Linked DNA regions of Caenorhabditis elegans. The protein of the gene in region 3 interacts with the protein of the main gene of each other region in a pairwise test. Each region holds a gene or a part of one and is shown on either strand. Other genes may lie near its edges.

The links.
Region 1: the proteins of sup-36 (region 3) and fbxc-20 interact in a two-hybrid assay, tested with the Caenorhabditis elegans proteins (2 studies listed by BioGRID).
Region 2: the proteins of sup-36 (region 3) and ptl-1 interact in a two-hybrid assay, tested with the Caenorhabditis elegans proteins (2 studies listed by BioGRID).
Region 4: the proteins of sup-36 (region 3) and fbxc-53 interact in a two-hybrid assay, tested with the Caenorhabditis elegans proteins (2 studies listed by BioGRID).

What each region holds. Positions count from the first base shown.
Region 1 is NC_003280.10:2,417,184-2,421,307, reverse strand, and holds fbxc-20 (F-box C protein), read right to left. Parts: upstream 2,173-4,124; 5' UTR 1,820-2,172; coding exon 1,749-1,819; intron 1,698-1,748; coding exon 804-1,697; intron 754-803; coding exon 639-753; 3' UTR 515-638; downstream 1-514. Other genes in the region: F42G2.7 (phytanoyl-CoA dioxygenase), read right to left, coding at 2,303-2,671; F42G2.5 (Major sperm protein), read left to right, coding at 3,337-3,505, 3,569-3,859, 3,907-4,052, 4,101-4,124.
Region 2 is NC_003281.10:763,231-771,238, reverse strand, and holds the start of ptl-1 (Microtubule-associated protein), read right to left. Parts: upstream 6,051-8,008; 5' UTR 6,040-6,050; coding exon 5,974-6,039; intron 4,736-5,973; exon of another isoform or gene 4,586-4,735; intron 2,682-4,585; coding exon 2,381-2,681; intron 2,333-2,380; coding exon 2,020-2,332; intron 1,952-2,019; coding exon 1,865-1,951; intron 1,350-1,864; coding exon 1,172-1,349; intron 978-1,171; coding exon 729-977; coding exon of another isoform or gene 720-728; exon of another isoform or gene 645-719; coding exon of another isoform or gene 555-644; intron 508-554; coding exon of another isoform or gene 430-507; exon of another isoform or gene 320-429; intron 255-319; coding exon 72-254; 3' UTR 1-71.
Region 3 is NC_003282.8:6,599,846-6,602,989, forward strand, and holds sup-36 (SUPpressor), read left to right. Parts: upstream 1-1,828; 5' UTR 1,829-1,860; coding exon 1,861-1,974; intron 1,975-2,034; coding exon 2,035-2,430; 3' UTR 2,431-2,598; downstream 2,599-3,144. Other genes in the region: F38A5.8 (uncharacterized protein), read left to right, coding at 37-237, 455-646; F15B10.3 (BTB domain-containing protein), read left to right, coding at 2,835-2,891.
Region 4 is NC_003280.10:3,709,718-3,713,556, reverse strand, and holds fbxc-53 (F-box C protein), read right to left. Parts: upstream 2,267-3,839; 5' UTR 2,252-2,266; coding exon 2,154-2,251; intron 1,943-2,153; coding exon 1,084-1,942; intron 953-1,083; coding exon 816-952; intron 770-815; coding exon 604-769; 3' UTR 510-603; downstream 1-509. Other genes in the region: srh-100 (Serpentine Receptor, class H), read left to right, coding at 1-33, 171-260, 308-369; srx-110 (7TM GPCR serpentine receptor class x (Srx) domain-containing protein), read right to left, coding at 2,605-2,728, 2,775-2,977, 3,074-3,246, 3,302-3,457, 3,605-3,678, 3,722-3,839.

The DNA.
Region 1 (4,124 bases), on a different chromosome or scaffold from region 3:
AACTATATACATAGATTTGTTTAAATGTGGAGTACCGAAATTTGACCTATACCCAAACTGACCCAAAACTACCAAATTTTGTAATGAGGCATGCTGAAAATTTCTCAAAAAAAAAGGTTTGGAAAAATTGCCCTTTTTTAAGAAAAATCACATTTTTTCCATTGACTCGGTGTCGCAGCGTCTGGAACTTTATTTTTATTTATTTGGCATTCTTCAATAAATAAACATTGTGGTTTTTAACGGGCGTATATTTTCATAGAATTTGAGAACATAAAAATGAAAAAAGGAATTATTATAAGGAATTAGAATAAAAAAGAAAGCAGAAAAAACATTTTTGGTTATATTAAGTAGGAAGACATTTTCCCATCATCATCGTCATATGAGTTATCAACTGATAATGATGGTAAGTCGTTCTACAAATACTAAAAGGGTAGGCGATATTTGTTGATGTCGAAATTATGATAATGTAAACACAAACAATTAGCAACAACTTCAATGATCAATTCTAGTTTAAAGATTTTAATAAAACTTTATTGAAATTTGCTCAATATCAGAAGTAAATAAATCAGTATCAGGATAAATTGTGAACAGTTATATTTGCTTCTGTAAACAGTTGGGATTTGAATTCAGATGTAAATTTACATAACTTCTCGTTGCTGAACTTTATACTCCAAAATCCATGTATCCACTTTATGACTGACGACAATATCCGTGAAGTTGTTTATATGAATGGTCAGTTGATTCTCAGCAGTTCTGCAAAAAAAAAACTATATTTTAGAGCAGCACCATCAAACTTTACTTACCCTTCTTCCACATTATAATTTATTCGAATTTTATCCAGAACATCAATTATGTTTCCCTCATTCCTCATTGCAAATGAGAAATGCGTACCAACTTCCCGCCCGTGCTCCATCCAATCCTCGAAAAGCCGAAAAGTAGCATCATACAAGTACGCATTAATGTAAACTCTTTTGTGCCGAACTTTGAGCAATCCCTCCCCGGAAATCACTTCGCAGTATAAAAGTAGCATCTCAGCGGTTTGAATAAAATCAATATCAAGATTCGGAGCATTCATAAGGGGATCAGAAATGATGACACCTGATAGTGGTAGGCTTTTGATATCCAGTAGATGTTGTGTGGCATTTAATAGCTTTTCCCGGATTAAGCCATTTAACTGTACAACTTTAGCACGAATTTTGAGGTGTCTCGGGATTCGGAGTATTCCAGAGTTTTCCACGCAAAATTGTCGGGCTTTGATAGTAGGCCTTCCTCCCAGAAGCTTATCAATTAGGTATTTCATAGCATCGTGAAGCTTCCGCTCATTGTATTGTAATTGCTCAGAGTGATTTCCAACGGAAAACCGGATGTAATGAGTATAACTGGAGCTGGGAGCATTTTTCAAATCAGCTCGAGAAATCCTTTGCTCATTGTATGATGTTGGATTGTCGGTTCTGTCATCGACCAAGATCTCCTGTTCTTGTTCCTGGTCTGGCACTACCATTTCCAAATCTATAGATCCTTGGCTATTCACATCATATGGAAATGCTCGTGGCTTAAGCGAATTCTCGATCACATTCAATTCATAGGTGGTGCCATTCAATTTGATGCTGTTCTCATTTAACTTTAAAGATTTCAAATATAAAGGTCTTGATTTGTCAATAGAAGTGATTGTCCGGCACTGCTGGGAGAGTTGGAATCTAGAAAAAAAGCTTGTTTAAACATTAGTAAAATAAAAATAAAAAACTAACTTTTTATCAGGCTTCAGGTGCTGAAGAATGCTCCCAATGCTTGGATATGACAATGGTTTCGAGCTATTCATTTTTGATAATAAAGAATATGGAGAGAATTGAGCAAGCCGGTTCGATTCAACCAGATGTGTCCCATTATAGGATTATCTAGCAGCTGGTCTTATTCGGCAAGGCAGGCGTATCTCATTATCTTCCATCACCTTTTATTTTGATAATTAAAATGAACGACGGGGTATATCCGAATTTTTTGGTACAACAAAGTCACGGAAATCGATTTGATATGGGTCTTTAAAGTTGAGTAGTTAGGTACACCCCTACCACAACTCTGCGTAGACCTTGTTTAGCCATCAAGGAACTTGGTCAGGCTCAGCTACTTACACTACTGTTGCATGGGGCTTTCTAAGCAATCAAGCCAACCGTAAATTTTTAGATTTTTCACGAGAAAACTGAGAATGATCTATAATCTATAAACCACAAACTTTTAAAATAATGTTTCACATAGCACATGCTCGCTGGCAGCCTTTCTGAAAAGGAAAACGCGCTCTAACGGAAAGTTACTCCAAGATATTGAAAATGCGCGCGCGGGCGTGTATTTCGTCGTGACACGAGAACCCATCGGATCGACTGGCACCGGATCCGTGGAACAAGCACGGATGGTAGAACACAAAATCTCCAGCCTTCATCTCAACGGATTCACGTGGAAGGGACATGCCATAGTCCTTGTTCGCGTAGTATGCCATGTTGACAGCACCCTGAAAATGGTTTTTGTTCAGTGAATTCTGCGTTGCTGGGCCAGAAACATACCTCTGGGTTCCTGGGATCACTGGCAGAAAGACAAGTCCTCTGGGCGCCACGGGAAGTAGATCAAATCCTGATGCATTGGGTGACGTGATGCCAGTGATTCCGTGTACTGTGGCTTGCATATGTGTGCATCACTTCAAATCGTCCTTTCCAACGCATTCTCTCACGTGTAGAAAACCATTTGCTTCTGAAAGAATATTGCTGCATGGTCTTGAAAAGTTCGGCCATCGATTTATCGATTTATCCAAAACTCACTGTTTGCAAATCCACGTGTCGAAAGAACCACGATTCTGATGATTTCATCAGCGACATGAAGATGGTAATGAATATTTTTGAATTTCACTTCCTCCCCCTTTTCGTTTTCTTTTGAAACGTGGATTTTTTTCACGTTTGTCTCTCAATTAATTTTTTTTTCAATTTTATAAATTTAATTTTTAATTAAAATAAATATTTTTTAAATAAAAAAACGATGCCTGAAAATGTATTTGAATATAGGATCACTTTGACAGTTAACAGCGATGAGATGATACCACAAAAACTCTATATGAGGACCTTTTTCAACAATATTTCTATTCTACACATTATGAAAAAAACAAGTAACACATGAAAAGAAATTGTTCCTAAGTCTTAGATAAGAGTAACACCCAAATTGATAACAGTTTTCTTTCGAAAGTTGCTGCCTGTTAAATGTCATAAAATTTCTGGTAAATATTTCTAAAATTACTTGAGTTAGGCTTTTACTTTACATACTCTTCTCTTTGCATTTAACTAATATTACAGATAAACAATGCCTGAAAAAAAGAGTCTTCTAGAAGTGCCTCCAGAGCTCGTCTTCAGTGGTCCATTCGATCACGTGATCACTACTTACATGACGCTCACAAATATATCACAAAGCCCAGTGTGTTTTCTAGTAAAAACAACGGTTCCAAATAGTTATTGTGTTCGTCCAAACAGAGGTGAGTATTTTGAAGAAAAATGAATGACACGGTTACCGGACGGCCATTGTTTCATTTTTAAAGGAATTCTAAACATTGGGGACTCGAAACAAATTGAAGTGATGCTCCAACCTTTGGAAAAAGTTCCACCTGATGCTAAGCAGCACAAGTTTCTGGTTCAATCGTGCGTCGCGCCTTCCATTGATGTTTCTGATTTGGAATCAGTTTGGAAAAATGTCAAACCAGACGAGCTTACCTACAATAGGCTTGTGGTTACTTTCGTTGACAATACAGATTCAAAATCAAACATCGAGTGCGAAATATGTACCTTGGAGTTTTCAAGTGTTGTTGATAACCAGATTCCTAGGATTCTTCGTGAGTTTTGATGCCTCTAAAGTGCGGCAATACAATTTTTTGTACAGAGTGTGGCCACTCAATTTGTCAAAGCTGTGCATCAAAGCTGGCCAAAAACTGTGTTATCTTATGTCCATTTTGCCGGAATGAAACCAATGTGAGCAGTGTGGCAAGTCTTCCCAAAAACTTTGCATTACTGCAAGCAATTGATCAGGTAAGTTGATAACAAAGTTGTTCTCAACTGTTGAACAAATTTTTAAAGAAAACTTTACGAGTTCCACCGTTG
Region 2 (8,008 bases), on a different chromosome or scaffold from region 3:
GTTAATATATTCAAAAATTAATTCAATAGTTGCACAAATATTTGAAAGCATATTATTAAGCGCGGTATACATCAGCGATTGAATATAAAATCAGGAGAAAGAGGATAAATGGCGCCTGGAAATTTGTTGGGCAGTAGAGAATTGCTTGAAGATCTCTGTGAGACACTTTGTCGTTTTGCAAAATCCTTCTTCTTATCAATTATTGTGGCCGTCATCATTTTTGGTCGACTTACTGCCACTTCGCTGGAAATTACCTGAAATTTCGTGGGGCAAATTGTGATCCAGTGATGGATGATAAACTGTGCTGAGAAGATGAATTATTCAAATAATCAAATTTATTACAAAAAGAGGTCATCAGTTTGCTGAAAAAATACAAAACCTCTGAAGATCAGTGAGGTGTGGTAAAATTCAAGTGAAAGCGTGGTCCGATCATAACGAGCTGATGTCCAGCGTAGAATGATTCCGGCTCGAGTCCGTCGACACGTAGCGGATTTTTTCGTCGAAAATCTGAAGAAAAGCGTGATATTGTGTGTGTAGCCTAGTTTATTACGAACTTGAACATTTCCACCACCAGGCCGATGATTCATATTGTCCTTTGACCCAACCTTACTCTCGGCTTTCCAGTTCAATTTTTGACTTAATATCTGAAAATCAATAGCTGCAATATGAAAAGCCACCACGTCAAATTCAAGTTCACTCGTGTTTCAAATTCTTAATCTTCAAAATACCTGAACATTTCCACCAGCAGGCTTATGCGCTGCGTTGTCCATTGACCCAACTTTTGATTTAGCTTGCCAAGTCAACTTCTCCGAAACTATCTTCACGTCAGACTTTGCTGGCTGATAATTGGTTTTCGAGCCAACCTTTGGTGAAGCTGCCGAAAAATCTAGCTTCCTGTTTTCGATTTGAACGTTTCCGCCTCCGGCAACGTGTGTTGCGTTTTTCAAGGAGCCAACTTTGGATTGGGCGTTGTAGAGCTGAAATAACTGAATGTGTAAAAAATATCTAGGTTTTGATAATGCAACTTCTGGCGAACATCCTTATTTGGTGTTCTCCAAAAATGAGATCTACAAGACCGATTTGTTCAGCTCTTTTTTGAGCTAAACAGCGACCTTCATAAACGTCATCTGATTGGCTCAAATCGCAGAAAAATTTTTTAATGTTCACTCACTCTTTTCTCCGAGAAAATTTCCACATTTCCGCCGCCCGCCTTATGATTGGTGACACTTCCCACTTTGCTCTTCACATTTACAAATTTGGCGTTAACCTTTGGCGTCATTCTTCCAACATTATCGATGCTTCGCGTAGACGTGGATTTTTGAACATCCGACCGTTCTCGAGACATTTTTCTGAAGATTTGTTACTTTTTTACTAATTGGCTATAATAGGGATTATTCAAGCCAAGCAAAATTTTCAATTTATGGTCAATCAGTAATGATAACATTCTATATATAAGTAACAACTATATGTAATAACTCAAATTCTACGTGGAAATGTGAGAAAGTTTGAAAAATTGAGATCGCAGGTGCCATAAAAGAAATAGGAGCAGTTGGGTGCACAACAATAGAGGAAGCAATTATGTTTTGCAATACCCAGACAACAAATATTCCGCACCAAGTTTAGGTGATGTATTTTCACTATGGGATAGTTTCAGGAAATGAGTATAGATACGTCCATTAGCAAACTTAGATCTAGTTATTTACTACCACGAATGAAAAAAATAGGCAAAGATACGTCTAATACATATAAGCGCAGAGAAATGAAAAAAAAAAACGTATTTTGGATACAATAAGACGGACAGAACCAAACCCATCTTTAATCTTCAAATAACTCGAGAAATTGTTATGAAAAAATAAACACTCACGATATGGGTCTCGGAGATGGCGCTGTTGAAGCAGTTTGTCTTGGTGTACTAATAGCGCGTTGAGACGAGGGAGTAGCAGTTGCTGGCCTAAAACAAGGAAATGCTCAGAATTTGTGATGAGTGGTCACTAGGTGAGCAACAAATGAAAAAATTACCTTGGCAAAGATGCTGGTATCGGTTTTGGCTGTCGCAGAATCGCCGTTGGTGGCCGAATCCCAGATCTTTGTGGGGTCTTATGTTGGGGTTGTGATGGAGTTGGGCTCATTTGTTTCTTCTCCTCGACTCTCTCGTTTTCATTGTTCTGCATAATTCTGTCGGCTTGTTGATCGGAGGTACCAGACGTTTCGGAAAAGTTTAGAGACTCGAGCTCTCTCGGAGCGATATCTTCCATTGTTGGGGCGTCGGGGATCGGACTCGAAGGCTTGGATTTTCCAGATTTTTCAGGTTCTTGTTCTCGAGGAGGAGATTCTGAAAATCTAGAGATTAAGAATGCTGAAGATTACATTTGAAACCTACCGACTACAACTTCTTCTTCCTTCTCGACTACTGGTTCGGGCTCTGGCTCCGGTTCAGGCTCTGGCTCCGGCACAGGTTCAGGTTCTGGCTCCGGTTCAACCTCTGGTTCAGGCTCCGGTTCAGGTTGATACTCTGGCTCAGGCTCTGGTTGTGGCACCGGTTCAACTTCTGGTTTAGGCTTCGGTTCAGGCTCCGGTTCAGGCTCCGGTTCAGGCTCCGGTTCAGGTTCTGGTTCCGGTTCAGGTTCGGGCTCCGGTTCTACTGCAACCTCCGGAAAAGAGCCCTGACTATACTGAGTTTCCTAAAACTAATAATTTTAAAATTTTCTCCAATAAAACTGAAAAGACAAACACAGAAGCAAAACGCGAAGTATATCTCAAAAATATTCCGAAGGGTGTCAATTTCTGTGTATTTGAGTGTGTCACAATGTATTCAGATGGGTGGTAGGAGGTGTATTCATGTGTAGAAGTGAATAGGCAAAAAAGGGGGGGGGGGATAAATGGTAAATGTGCCATAAATGTGTCCTTGAGATTTACAATTCACACCGACAAACCGAAATCGGGATGGATCAAAGAATTGTGAGGACTTAAAACATCAAAGTGGAGTTTAACGGGAGAATTAGCAGTTTCCTCGAAATTTAACCCACAAATTGGTAATTTTTTGGGGATATTGTTATTGTACATCAATATGTGTACACTAAATAAAGGGCGGCGTGGAAATAGTGAATAATGTACAAACAGTGAGAGAGAGACACACGATGCGATGTGAAATTGAATACCAACAGAGCTTTTGGGAAGAGAAAATAAAAATGAAGAAAGGGAAGGATAAGGGATTTACTATTTTAGTGGCTTTTGTTAGATCTATGTGGCGATGTGGTCGTTAATTAGGTTTGCCGATTTGCCAATTTGCAGCAAATTTTCAATTCCGGCAAATTTCCTATTTGGCCAAAATGTTATGAGGGACGGAAACACTTAAAATTGTGCCTTTTCGAAACATTTTCCCGTTTTCTTTTTCCGGCAAATTTGGAAAATCATCAATTTTTAGTTTTGCTCGGTTATAAAAATAAAACTGAAAATATATTCCATTTTTCGAAGCTCGATGAAAAATATATTCAGAAAAACATTAGCACAAATAGAAATTGGTTTTCCCCCTCCTTACAAATTAATTGAAAATCTCTAAAACTACAGACACATGACTTCAGAGTGGTCAGGAATAACAAAAAAAAGCATTCTGCCAAGTGAAAAAAAGAGAAAAAAACTGGCTTTCCACGGGGTCAACCCGGGAAAGAGTAAGTATCCATAAAAAATTTAGCGTTTTCTTTTCTTTTCGCCCTTCTCCTGACAACACCCGTCGGTGTATAGCTGTGAGAATTGACAAACAGTCGAGTGAGAAGCAAAACATTGCAACACGGGCAAAAAAAAACATAGAAATACACTCGAAAACGCAAATGAGAGAGCAAATATTTTTTGTGCATATTTTGGTGGACAGGTTAGGTGGGCTCATTTTTGTTGAATAAAATTAGAAAATTAAAGTGCTAGATACTTTTGTATATGAAAACTAGCTAAACTTTAACATTTTTGGCAACTTCTCCAAATGATGCCACTCAAAAATAGGTTTATAAAACATCTCAAAATATGTACAGAAAGAATTAAAGGGATATCTATTTTGCTTGAAATACAAAGAATTCAGTTCATTTATCCTGTGTCTGAAATTCAAGTATGCCCAAAGTAAGCTTGCCGATCTTGAAGAGCTTCAAGCTTAAAGAGGAGTTTTGCTGAGGTGTATTTTTCCACTTCAGTAATATGAAAACTGTCTCACTCAGTATTTTCCTAACTTGACTAACCCAAAAAGGCAGGGGAAAATTAAACATAGGTGAACACTCAAACTAGTGGATGTGATGGATCCCACCCGGACGATGATTACTGTCTTCGGAAGAGGAAGGTCTTTCTGTGGCGCGACACTTATTTGCCCAAGTCTCACAGGGACATGCGCTATTTTACTAAGGACAAACCACTCAATTCATTGCAATTCGTTTCTCCTAATTCAAATGTGAAGACGACGAAGAATAAGGAGAAACAGGCAGGAGACAAAAAAAAGCACATGAAAAGCAAATTTTGTCAAACTACAACAAGAATTGTAAAATCGTGCGTGCTTGGAAGTCGAACTGGGCTCGTGAAACTCGAATTCAAACAATTCAAACAAAAAAAAACCGATGATCTGATTTTTTGTCTCTTGCTGTCTCCCTCTCTTGCTTCGTTATGTCAATAAATCAAGAAGCTGCCTCACGGCGGGTTGAGAGATAGACAAAAAACTACTCACGGAAGGCATCAGAGGGATAATCAACTACTGACAAAGACACCTAGAGACAAACAAAGTGATTATGACTACGGAAGGGAGCAAGTTCTGCTAGAGTCAGTTTGTGCATGTTCCTGTTGGAAACTTGATGGTTGAACAGATTAGTTCTTATCTGAACAGCAAAACACAAGGATTGTTTGAAATAGTCAACTTTTTTGTTTGTTGAGATTGACCTACGGGCTTTTGATTCAGGGTTTAGGTACAGGACGAATATTAAGCTTTGGCAAGTCTCTGGATGCTCAATTTTTTGTTAACCTTATTATGCTCTTACAATTAGGCTAAATTTTTAAATTAGACCGCGGCTAATGCTGAAACTCCTAGAAAAATTGAAATCACGTTTTGCACTATGGGTGAAATTGGATTACTAAAGATTCATTTATAATAAAATTTTGTCCTTAATTTTACAGAGGAGCTAAGTTGAAAATTTTTCAACTCTTCACATATTCAAACTTTAGCTCCTAATTTAAAAACTAGGTCAAAGATTGTAACTAATAACCTCATACACACCCCGCTCGCCCACCATGAGAACCGCAAACAACAACTAATTTTGTTTTTTTCCTCTCTCTCTCACATCACCAACATCCATTAGATATCTATCCCTGAATTTCTCTCAGCTATTTGTGTTCCGTTTCGGACGTTCTCATGGATATTCTTGGCTAATCAAAGAGAAGAATTAAAGAATAAGAAGAGAAGAGTCGTCTTCCGGTTCAAGGACGCTTTTGAATAGTTAGAATGATGTCCAAAAGATGGAATAAGTCGTTTTAGGGAAAACAAAACCAAGCCATTAAATACGTACAACATGTAGAATTATATAAAAGTATGATTGAGAAATTTAAGAATATTGTTTGAAATTTATAAATACACTGTTTTCTTAGAAAATTGATCTTCAGAGTTTAAGGAATTGGTGCAGTTGTTGTGTACTTACTTGTGAAATTCAACTAAACGTTTCCATTTTTGGATGCTCAAAACAAATTCAAATTTTCAAACCAAAAACGAATCCTAAAAACCGAAAATGTGTGTATAATAGGCTTGCGAGTATGATAAATGAGTATGCATTTGGCAGATTGCCAATTTTCACAATGAGTGACAAATGAGACATGAAAGAGATCGAGGAGGAGGGGTTTAATGAAATGAGTATATTTTTCATTTTGACCATCAATAGCAGCAGAAGCAGCAGAAAAAGCAAATGTTCTGTGTGTGTACAATAAGCCAACACCTCACGCAACAGCTGAGCATACCATCGAATTTTCGTTTTCGCCAGGGGAGCCTGGCTCGGATCCAGGCTCTGATTGAGGGGTTGACATTTTTCCTGAAAAATTGAAATTGGGAGAAAATTGATAAGAAAAGAGGAGTAAAACTAGATCCACTTGCGGTGGTGGATTGAGGTAAGCAAACAAAAGAAGGCGATATCAATGTCAGTTTCAATATTTGTTAATCTATGTTCCAATTTTTAGTTTTTAGAGTGTTCAGATAAAACCGTTTTGAGTTGAAGTAAATATGTTGAATTATACTTTTTCGACAAAAAAAAACGAAATTATCCTATTTTTTTCTAATTTTTGAACTAAAATCGAGTTTTCTCTAGAAAACGGCCAAATTAACAATTATTTGAAAATGAATTTTCGCGAACTTTTCTGTGATATTTTGCATTAAAGTCCCCCGAATTGTTTTTTGACCAACCTATTAAATTTGCAAAAAATACTTTTAATTTTGAATTAAAACCTTGAGAAACAACCATAACGCCAAGAAAAAATTTGAAATTCTAGGAAATCCCATATTCAGAGCCTTCCTACACACATACACACACAAAAAACTTCTCTCACTCTATATCTCTCTTCATCAGAAGACGTCAAGTCTTCGATGATCTAGTCATGGGCGGTCGTCGTCGTTTTTCTGGTCGTCTTTCCCGGTTGTGTGAGGGGAGACACTAAAAATATGCACAAATCAATGAGTGAAAGCGCGCGACTTCTTCTTCTTCTTCTACTTTGCCAGCGGCACTCAGTCCGTTTGAGTTCGCGCACGCGAATATATGCAGAAGAGAAAAGAGTCCCTTCCGTTGCATAAGGTACCTTGTGAAATACAAATGAGTTATACTGAACATGCCAAAGAGAGAAATAGAGAGAGAATGTGAAAACGGAAATGAGGATGGATTGAGTGGCCTGTGTGGGACCTTCTTTCACTTGAAGATCCTCTTTTAGAATGTGTACAATTTTTGAGCAGATATGGGTTACACGGTAGTTCACAAGGATTTTGAAAGGAACTCGCATGGAATAAGGAATTTTTTGGAATTAATGACTGGAAAGTTGTACTGTTTCCATTTGTAATTTTGATTTTAGTCAAAATTTTTAGGTCGCCGTTTGCCGAACCCTAATTTTTTACGGCGATCGGCAGTGGCCGGTTGCCTAACACCCCTTGTTTTAGGCATTTTTCGGCACTTTTCGGCATTCTCAAAATCTTTGATGTTTTGTTGTTTTTGTTGTATTTTCTAAATCTAATTAGTTCAATTTCAAGGTTTGATAAGGAGCGTCTTGGTTTTAATTTTCAAGCAAAGATCAATTTTATTTTTTAACGACCAGACTGTTTGGATAGTCAAAAAAGGATCCCAGAGGCAAGAATGATTCAAAACAACTGTACACATGGACCGCCATAGACAATATCATCTCTCGAGGGTTTTATGGTGGGGTGACGATGTGTCGACTGAAAGAATATCTCCTCTATATGGCTAATAATTCAAATATGTTGACTTTTGGTAAGTGTTAAAAATAAAGGTGACTTGAGAGTGTTAGGGTACAAAAGACACAGAGATGTCCCTTGATTGTTCGCAGAAAACAATTTTTAAGGGTATGACTACAATATTTGTAGATTTATGTTTCAAGGATGAATGTGAAAAACTTGAATATATTCGATTAAATTTAAAAAAAAATCAACATTTTTCACAACTGTCGAAAAATGCCGAACATTTTTCGGCATTCGCGGATCTTTTGACCAACTTTATTTTCGGCGAACGACATTCGCCGTTCACAGAACCAAATTTTTTTCTTCGGCAAATGGCATTCACAGTTTGCCGTTTGCCGCACAGTCCTGATTAGAACTACAAGAAAAACATTTTATTTTTATTTTTGACGTTAACGCTAAATAGCTAAATATTAAAAGCTAAATATTAGGGGCCTGTCAAACAAGTATTAGGACACGCATGCCTATTTCGTAACTCTTGTGATTGTGATGGATGAGTACGAAAATTCAGAAATTGAGGGAAGAAGGAAAAAGGAAACACCC
Region 3 (3,144 bases):
TATTTCAGAATTTGTAAAAGTGTCTATCAAAAAAGAATGGCAGACGATGGATACGAAGTAATTGGTCCCGTCTATTCGGTGCCTCCTCTTGCATCACCGATGCCCACGATGGTTCCTCCATCGCCACTCGCAGTCACTCCAAAGGTTAAAAAGGATGAAGATTCTGGATCAAGTGCGGCGGAGACGACCAGAGCCGGAAAACATCGAAAAAGGACAAACGCCTCAGAGTATGAAGTGGTTGGTTTTTTAATGATTTTGGCTTTTTTTAGCGATCTAGCTTTTCTTGTTGAGAAAATACTGAAAAGAATAGTATGACATGAGTATTGGTTAACAGAAAAGTCCCAGAAGTTTCTGTAATTTTGTTAAATTCTTCAAAACAAGAATCTTCAAAAAAGCCTTTTTTTTTAATTGAAAGTAACTCCTCTTTGCTTACATCAATATTATATAAATTCAGAGCAATATGGAGAGCACCCACCATGATGTAGTTTCGATCAAGCACAGACCAAACTCGTGTGACGTTTGCCACGTGGCGACTCTTTTGTTCCTGATTGTTATGGTGATCGCCATATCGACTCCAGTTCTCCTTTCTGCAAGTAAGGGCGGACTTCCATGGATTGAGAATAAGTTGATGGAAGAGTCTAATTAAGAGTACTGCCGAGTTTGAATAAAGATTTTATGGGGAATTTTTTTGTACTCACATCTTTCAAAAGTTTCCTGAAAAATTACTAAGCTTACAGTAACCTTACAGTAACGCTCTTTACGCAAATGTAAAACTTTTACATGTATTTACATAAACAAAAGTTTTACATATTTAAAATGACCATGCTTTTTTCAAAAATCTCAACGCTTTAAAGCGCTATGAACCCCTGAAGCGCCAAAATCTCTGCGTCTATTTAATTTGAATTCCGCGCGCAAATGAGCGACCATCGTGTACTCTCGGACAATCAAATAATTTGTTGATTTTCCACAAGTTTATGTGTTCTTCGAATTTTCTCATTATTTTTCAGTTTTTTAATTGTATTAATAAATTTATGAATGCATTTTGAATGGATTGATGCTCAATGAGACAAAACTCTTGTTTTATTGAATTATTTGGTTGTATTCCCGCATTTTTTCTATTCCACTGAAAAATAAGTTTTTTTTTCATTTCGATCTTTGGGATCTTTCAAATATGACTATTTTCTCTTATTTCTACGAATAACTTCATCTATTGAAAGTACTCTAGTTTCCCAATTCAAGAAAAAACATTTTTACATGAATGTGAATTCCCTCTCGAGACTTATCCGAATAATTAAAAGAACTTTTTACTACTCCTTCCAGAATATTAAAAATCTACCGTTGTCTATCTTCCAAAGTGTTCATTGCTCCATTCGCAATAACATTTTTATCGCACAATAATAACCGTTTTCTCAGCCACTGTTTTTCCAATCCACTTGTTACACTACACTCGAAATATCGGGAAAGTTCAAATTCCACTGTTCCAAGTTCCAAATGTATTGGTTGCAGTATCGATCGGAAAACAATAAACTCCACTCATCCTGCGTAGCACACCTCCTTCTATTTCGAAATCAATGTTTCCTCGTCATATGTTGTATCTCTCACACCCTCCGTCTTCTTCTCTATACTTGTAAAAGAGCGCGTCGCGCAATACTCATAGAGTTTCATTCTTTTGCATTTATTCAGTCATTCATCATATTCTTCTTTTCTCTTGCTTATCTTTGGAATTCCTCTGACATTCATTCTACCATTTACTAGAATTATAACATTGATTTTGTAAATACTCTTCCTCATTCTCTTGCAATAAAAAACAATTTCCTAACCGAAATCATTTCAGAACTTGCACTACATCTTCCGTTAACAATGCCATCTTGCGAGATCAAATTCGACTTCAACGACTCTGACGAGTCAGTCACTGTTCGTGAAACTCGCATTATCCTGCTTCTTCCAGTCATCCGTCGCGCTGTTGAGCTCCAGGTAAGATATCAGATTTTTTTTTTTGAGAAATATAGATTTAAAAATAAACGTTTTTTTCAGTATCCGGATTTCGCGACCGAGGAGAATGCGGTGATTGAAGCTCCATTCAGGGTTCCATTCAAGAAGGATGCTGGAGTATTCCTCTTCGATACCATCGCTCGCTACGCTGCACCAACCGATGACAATGTCCATGAGATCACTGTTGAACAAAGTTACCCAGAAGCTGGACCGAAGACCTTGGATGAGCTCAAAGAAATCATTGAACTCGCCAACTTCTGGGAGTGTACCACTTACATGGAGTGCATCGGATTTGCGATTGCAAAGAAGTTGGAGGACAAGACCATCGAAGAGATCGCCGCTTTCATGGGAGTCGAATGCAATCCACCAGGAAACTTCTTCGCAGAGGAAGACGGATGGATTCATCCACCAGCAGACGCTTTCCAGAATGTCCAATAGATCCGATCCCCTCGTAATTTGCTCTGATCTCCCACTGCCAATTTCCATGATTTTGTGTTAAATATATTCAAGCTCAATACTTTCACTTTTTACCTCCTTGTAATATATTAAATACTTATCAGAACTTTTTCAAATTGATTTTAAGGAATGAATAAAATGATTTTCTCGAAATGTGCTCACAAATCTTAAAAAGAACTCGAAATCAGAATTGCCAAAAAAATCAACAGAGAGGAAAGTAATTGAGGACGATTCATGCAAAATTACAGTATCAACTCGATTAGTTCAACCGTGAATTGAATAAAAAAAATCGACGTCAAATCCACGGAAACAAGGTTGCCACGATTTTCAGAGGTACTCGCCCTATTCCAGTTATTCCGGATTTTGATGAATTACCGTAGCTCACGATGTTTACTATTCCTTTCAAATTGAAAGTTTCAATGTCATCATACTTCCGTGAAAAAGTGAGACATTCAGTTTTAAAGGCACATGATTTTTTTCTGAGTTATTATCGCGACGATTTCGGCTAGTGCTCACGCTTTTACAAATGTATGATAGCTCTCCTAGTTGAATTTTGTTTTAATCTGAAAACGTTTAAATGGGAATATTCAGCCCAGATGTTCTGCTTTTAATACTACATGTGCAAATTTGGAACACTGCCAAGTGATCGATATTATTGTGTATCTGACATTGTTCAATATATATCTACTTCCAATT
Region 4 (3,839 bases), on a different chromosome or scaffold from region 3:
AAGAAATGATGAATCTAGGTGTGGACGTTGCAGGTAAGATTGATGAAAAGCAGCCGACATATCCCGGCTGTCACAATACTTTAGATTGATACGACACTTACCCGGGAAGTGTCGGACGCATCACATAACCTGTAAGTTGTCGGCTGCTTAGATTCATAATTATTCTTCAGGACTTCATGGCATCGGTGAAAGTATTGCAGTTATTTTCGTTCATTCACCTTACCGGAAAGCCGCTGGGCAGCTAATTTTCAGATGGAACGGTGAGTTGGAAGTTAACTCTTGCAAGTGATATAGTATACATTTTAAGATCCACAATCTAGCACACGAGTTTCTGCTGTACGGGGGAATTCCAGTGCGTTCACTATTTGAGTTTTTGATTTTTGGATAAAAAATAATTAACTATGGAGATTCAGTTTTGTCAATTGGTTATAATAAATTGTAAATAAAGTACAGTGAAAAATTGTGTTTTACTAAAAAAACATGCATTTATTTTGCGCCCGACACCTAACAGGTATTTGGAAACTTTATTACTTGAACAATTTAAAAGTAAATTTTCAAATAAATTCTGTTGTTTAGGAAGTTGCATATAATTGAATTAAAAATTTAACGAGGAATCGTGTCCCCCCTCTTCATAACTTCCATGCACAGACTCCATTTGCAGGGCTGAGGACGGGTGAGTCCTTCTTCACTAATTTTCCCTCCGCCATAGATTGCCAGCTCCAAATCCCCATCAATTAGCATGCTCAATCCGTTGGAAAAATCTGTATTTCTGAAAAATAATAGATTTTTTTTCTGAAAACACTTCAAAAACATACTCAAGCTTCTTAATTATTGCTGGATGAGCTCCGTGGCTTTCCTTCAAAAAGTCTAAAATGTCCAAAACCTCTTTGTAGTCTTCTCGAATGCCTACTTGGACTAAGGACCCTATAGGGCGGGAAGATGTGGCCCAGCTCTGAAAAATTTAAAAAAAATTAAAACGACCGACATCTACCGGGTTCCACAAAAAAACCCGGTAAGCCTATGCCTAAGCCTAAGCTTAAGTTTAAGCTTAAACCTTAGCGAGTTTCCAACGTGGAAACTTACCTGAACCAGCTGGGGAAAGCTTTCAATTATCACAATATCAGGAAAGATTTCCAATTTCTGATTTTGTAGAGCTGAGAGCAGAGTAGTTTTCAGCATACGGCTCAGGAAGGTGCCTGCCTCCACAATCCGAAGTACTGGACAATTCTGCACCAGAGGCAACATCAATAGATCAACATTCGTATTAGTGACGTTCAAGGTTAGCTTCTTAAGCGAGCTGTGATCCAAGAACGGAGCAAGTTCCAAAATATCGATAGATGCTGTTGAACTGCAGTCAATTTCTCTTACTTTTAGTGTAAGCAAATCTTTTCTCATCAAAAAGTCAGGAAATGATTGAACTTTTAGTAGTTTGATTCTCGATCCGTTACTGAAAAAAGCATCGAAAATTTTTTCATAAGCAATGTCAACTGGAATTTCCTTGGTTACTGTAATTGCCGTTCCATCTTCCTCGGAAATTGTGATTTCACAATTTCCAGTTCTACCGTGTTCCGAAGAATCTTGAAGCCGGTTTTCCCTTCGAAACCGAAGCCGTCTCTTCTCAAGACTATCCAGGTCCCCAAAAGAAAGTCGATCGGGACCCTGATTGCCCATAGGTCTCCATAAATGATGCAAGTCATTCATGTCAAACAGGGATGGGGGACCAAGGTCCATCACCAAAAGGCGATTATATTCTGCATATTCATATTCTGGTCGCCGGCGAGCCACACCTTCAGGCTTCGGGGCTTTTTCAGCAAGCTTTTTGAAAAGATATGATCTGTTCTGGATCATGATTTCAAATTTATCAAGGATAACCTCTTCGTGGGCATATGGTAGCAGAGCATTGACAGACCTGAGCTCGGGAATATGAATGTGAATTTGTTCTCTGAAAAAATATTTTATAATTGTTTTTTGTTACTGTAATATACTCAAAATTGTCCCTTTATTTTAGCCAAATTTTATCGCTTTTTTTTTGGATATTTTGAACTTCCAAATTTGAATAAATTTGAGGAATATTTAAGAAATCTCATTTTGAAATTCGGGTTTTTTAAAGTTTTTCTTCAGTCTATTTTCAAGCTTAATCACTATTCACTAACCTTTTCTTCACACTCAAAAACTTGAGAACGGATTTCAGCGAGGTGTAAGAGGTGTAATTCAACTTTTTTGGCCGAGAAGAAGAATAAGAAGCGTCCATCTTTCGGAGAATCAGGGAAGCAAAATGGGCAACTGAGCACCTTGGGGAGAGAGGGATTACGAGAAGATTAGTTCCCCCTTTTCCACTCCAATAGAGCATGATAATTATAGACGTATGTAATGTGCATGGGGATTAGGGATCAGATTTCGATTGTGCTACGACAAGCTTTTTGAAAATGTAATCTGGGTAATGGATATTTTCTTTGAATTTTGCGTTCAAAGTATTTTGCAAAAAAAACTTTAAAAACATAAAATAAAAAAACGCCAATTAACTTTCACATTTTTAGATTTTTTAAACAAGTTGTACATACAAAGTTGGGGTAAAACATGATGTTATTTATTTATTTATTTGAATTAGGAAGACACTGGAGGTAGTGAATTTTCACTATTAATCAAGCCAACTTTCACAGTTTTCCGGGTACTCGGCGTTGACTTTGGTTTCAAATTTATGCGATAGTTGAAGAGATACATTATCAATCTGAAATATAGAACACATTTCCAAAACTTTGACATCAAAAGCTTACCCATCAACTACATATACCATCACATCAAACCCCATACTGACGAGCACCGCACAGACATTCATCTCACAGTATTCTAGGGATAAATGGTTAACCGCCACGTCGACCATGCAAATCCAATCTTGGAAGCATGATTGGAGAAAGAATCTGATGTTAGACCTCCGCCGACTTTTAGCGGACTCAGAGGAGAGGGATTTGGAAGATTTCTGGAACAAGAACATTCTCTCACAAACCCCAACAGAAGCACTACAGTACCCTACCGTAGTCCAATCTACAGTAGTCCTACAGGCTTAAAAACTCACCGAAAGACAGAATAACTTGATAGCTATCAGGATATTCATGAAATTTGTAGAAACTGCCAATACTAATAAATAATATATCAGGAAGCTTATCAAAGCCTCAACGCATTGATAGTCATTTTCTGAATAGTCGGGAAACGGTACATGGTCGAAGCTGAACGGGAAACGGCAGATGTCTGAGATTCTTTTTTTTTTGGTTAATTGAGTTTTTTCACTTCGTAGAAAGTTAACCTGGCATTCCAATTAGAGTAGAAAACCAAACTGTGAAAAGCCATGATATTGCCATTGCGGCTACTGTAATCCGGGTACTGTACCTTGGAGTGTTAACCGGGGAACACCATACCACAAGAAAGCGGTTAATGGTTATCATTAGTTGGGTTGTGGGGCCTGAAGTTGATTATTGCAACGCTCAAGTTTGCGCGCCAACGAGGTGTGGGTGCCGACCAATCAGAGAAGTGCCGTAGGCGTGGCCATCGTTGCTGATTGGTCGGTTTGATTTTATGCTGCGCGCGTATTCAAAAAGTCTTAACCAACCTTGCAAATAAAGTCCGAAACCCATTGCCTGATTCAGATAGCCGCTCAACGTGTCAGATCCAATCGCGGCGTAACTAAAAAAATTTGAGCTTGAACCGAATCTCTATAATTACCTACAAAGCATTAATAGGCCCAATATAACCAAAATAGATAAGTAGGACCAAAGTATTAGAGATGGATTTCGACGAGCATAGAATGTAAAAAACAGTTTTTTCAAGCGATAAAAAGTGATAAA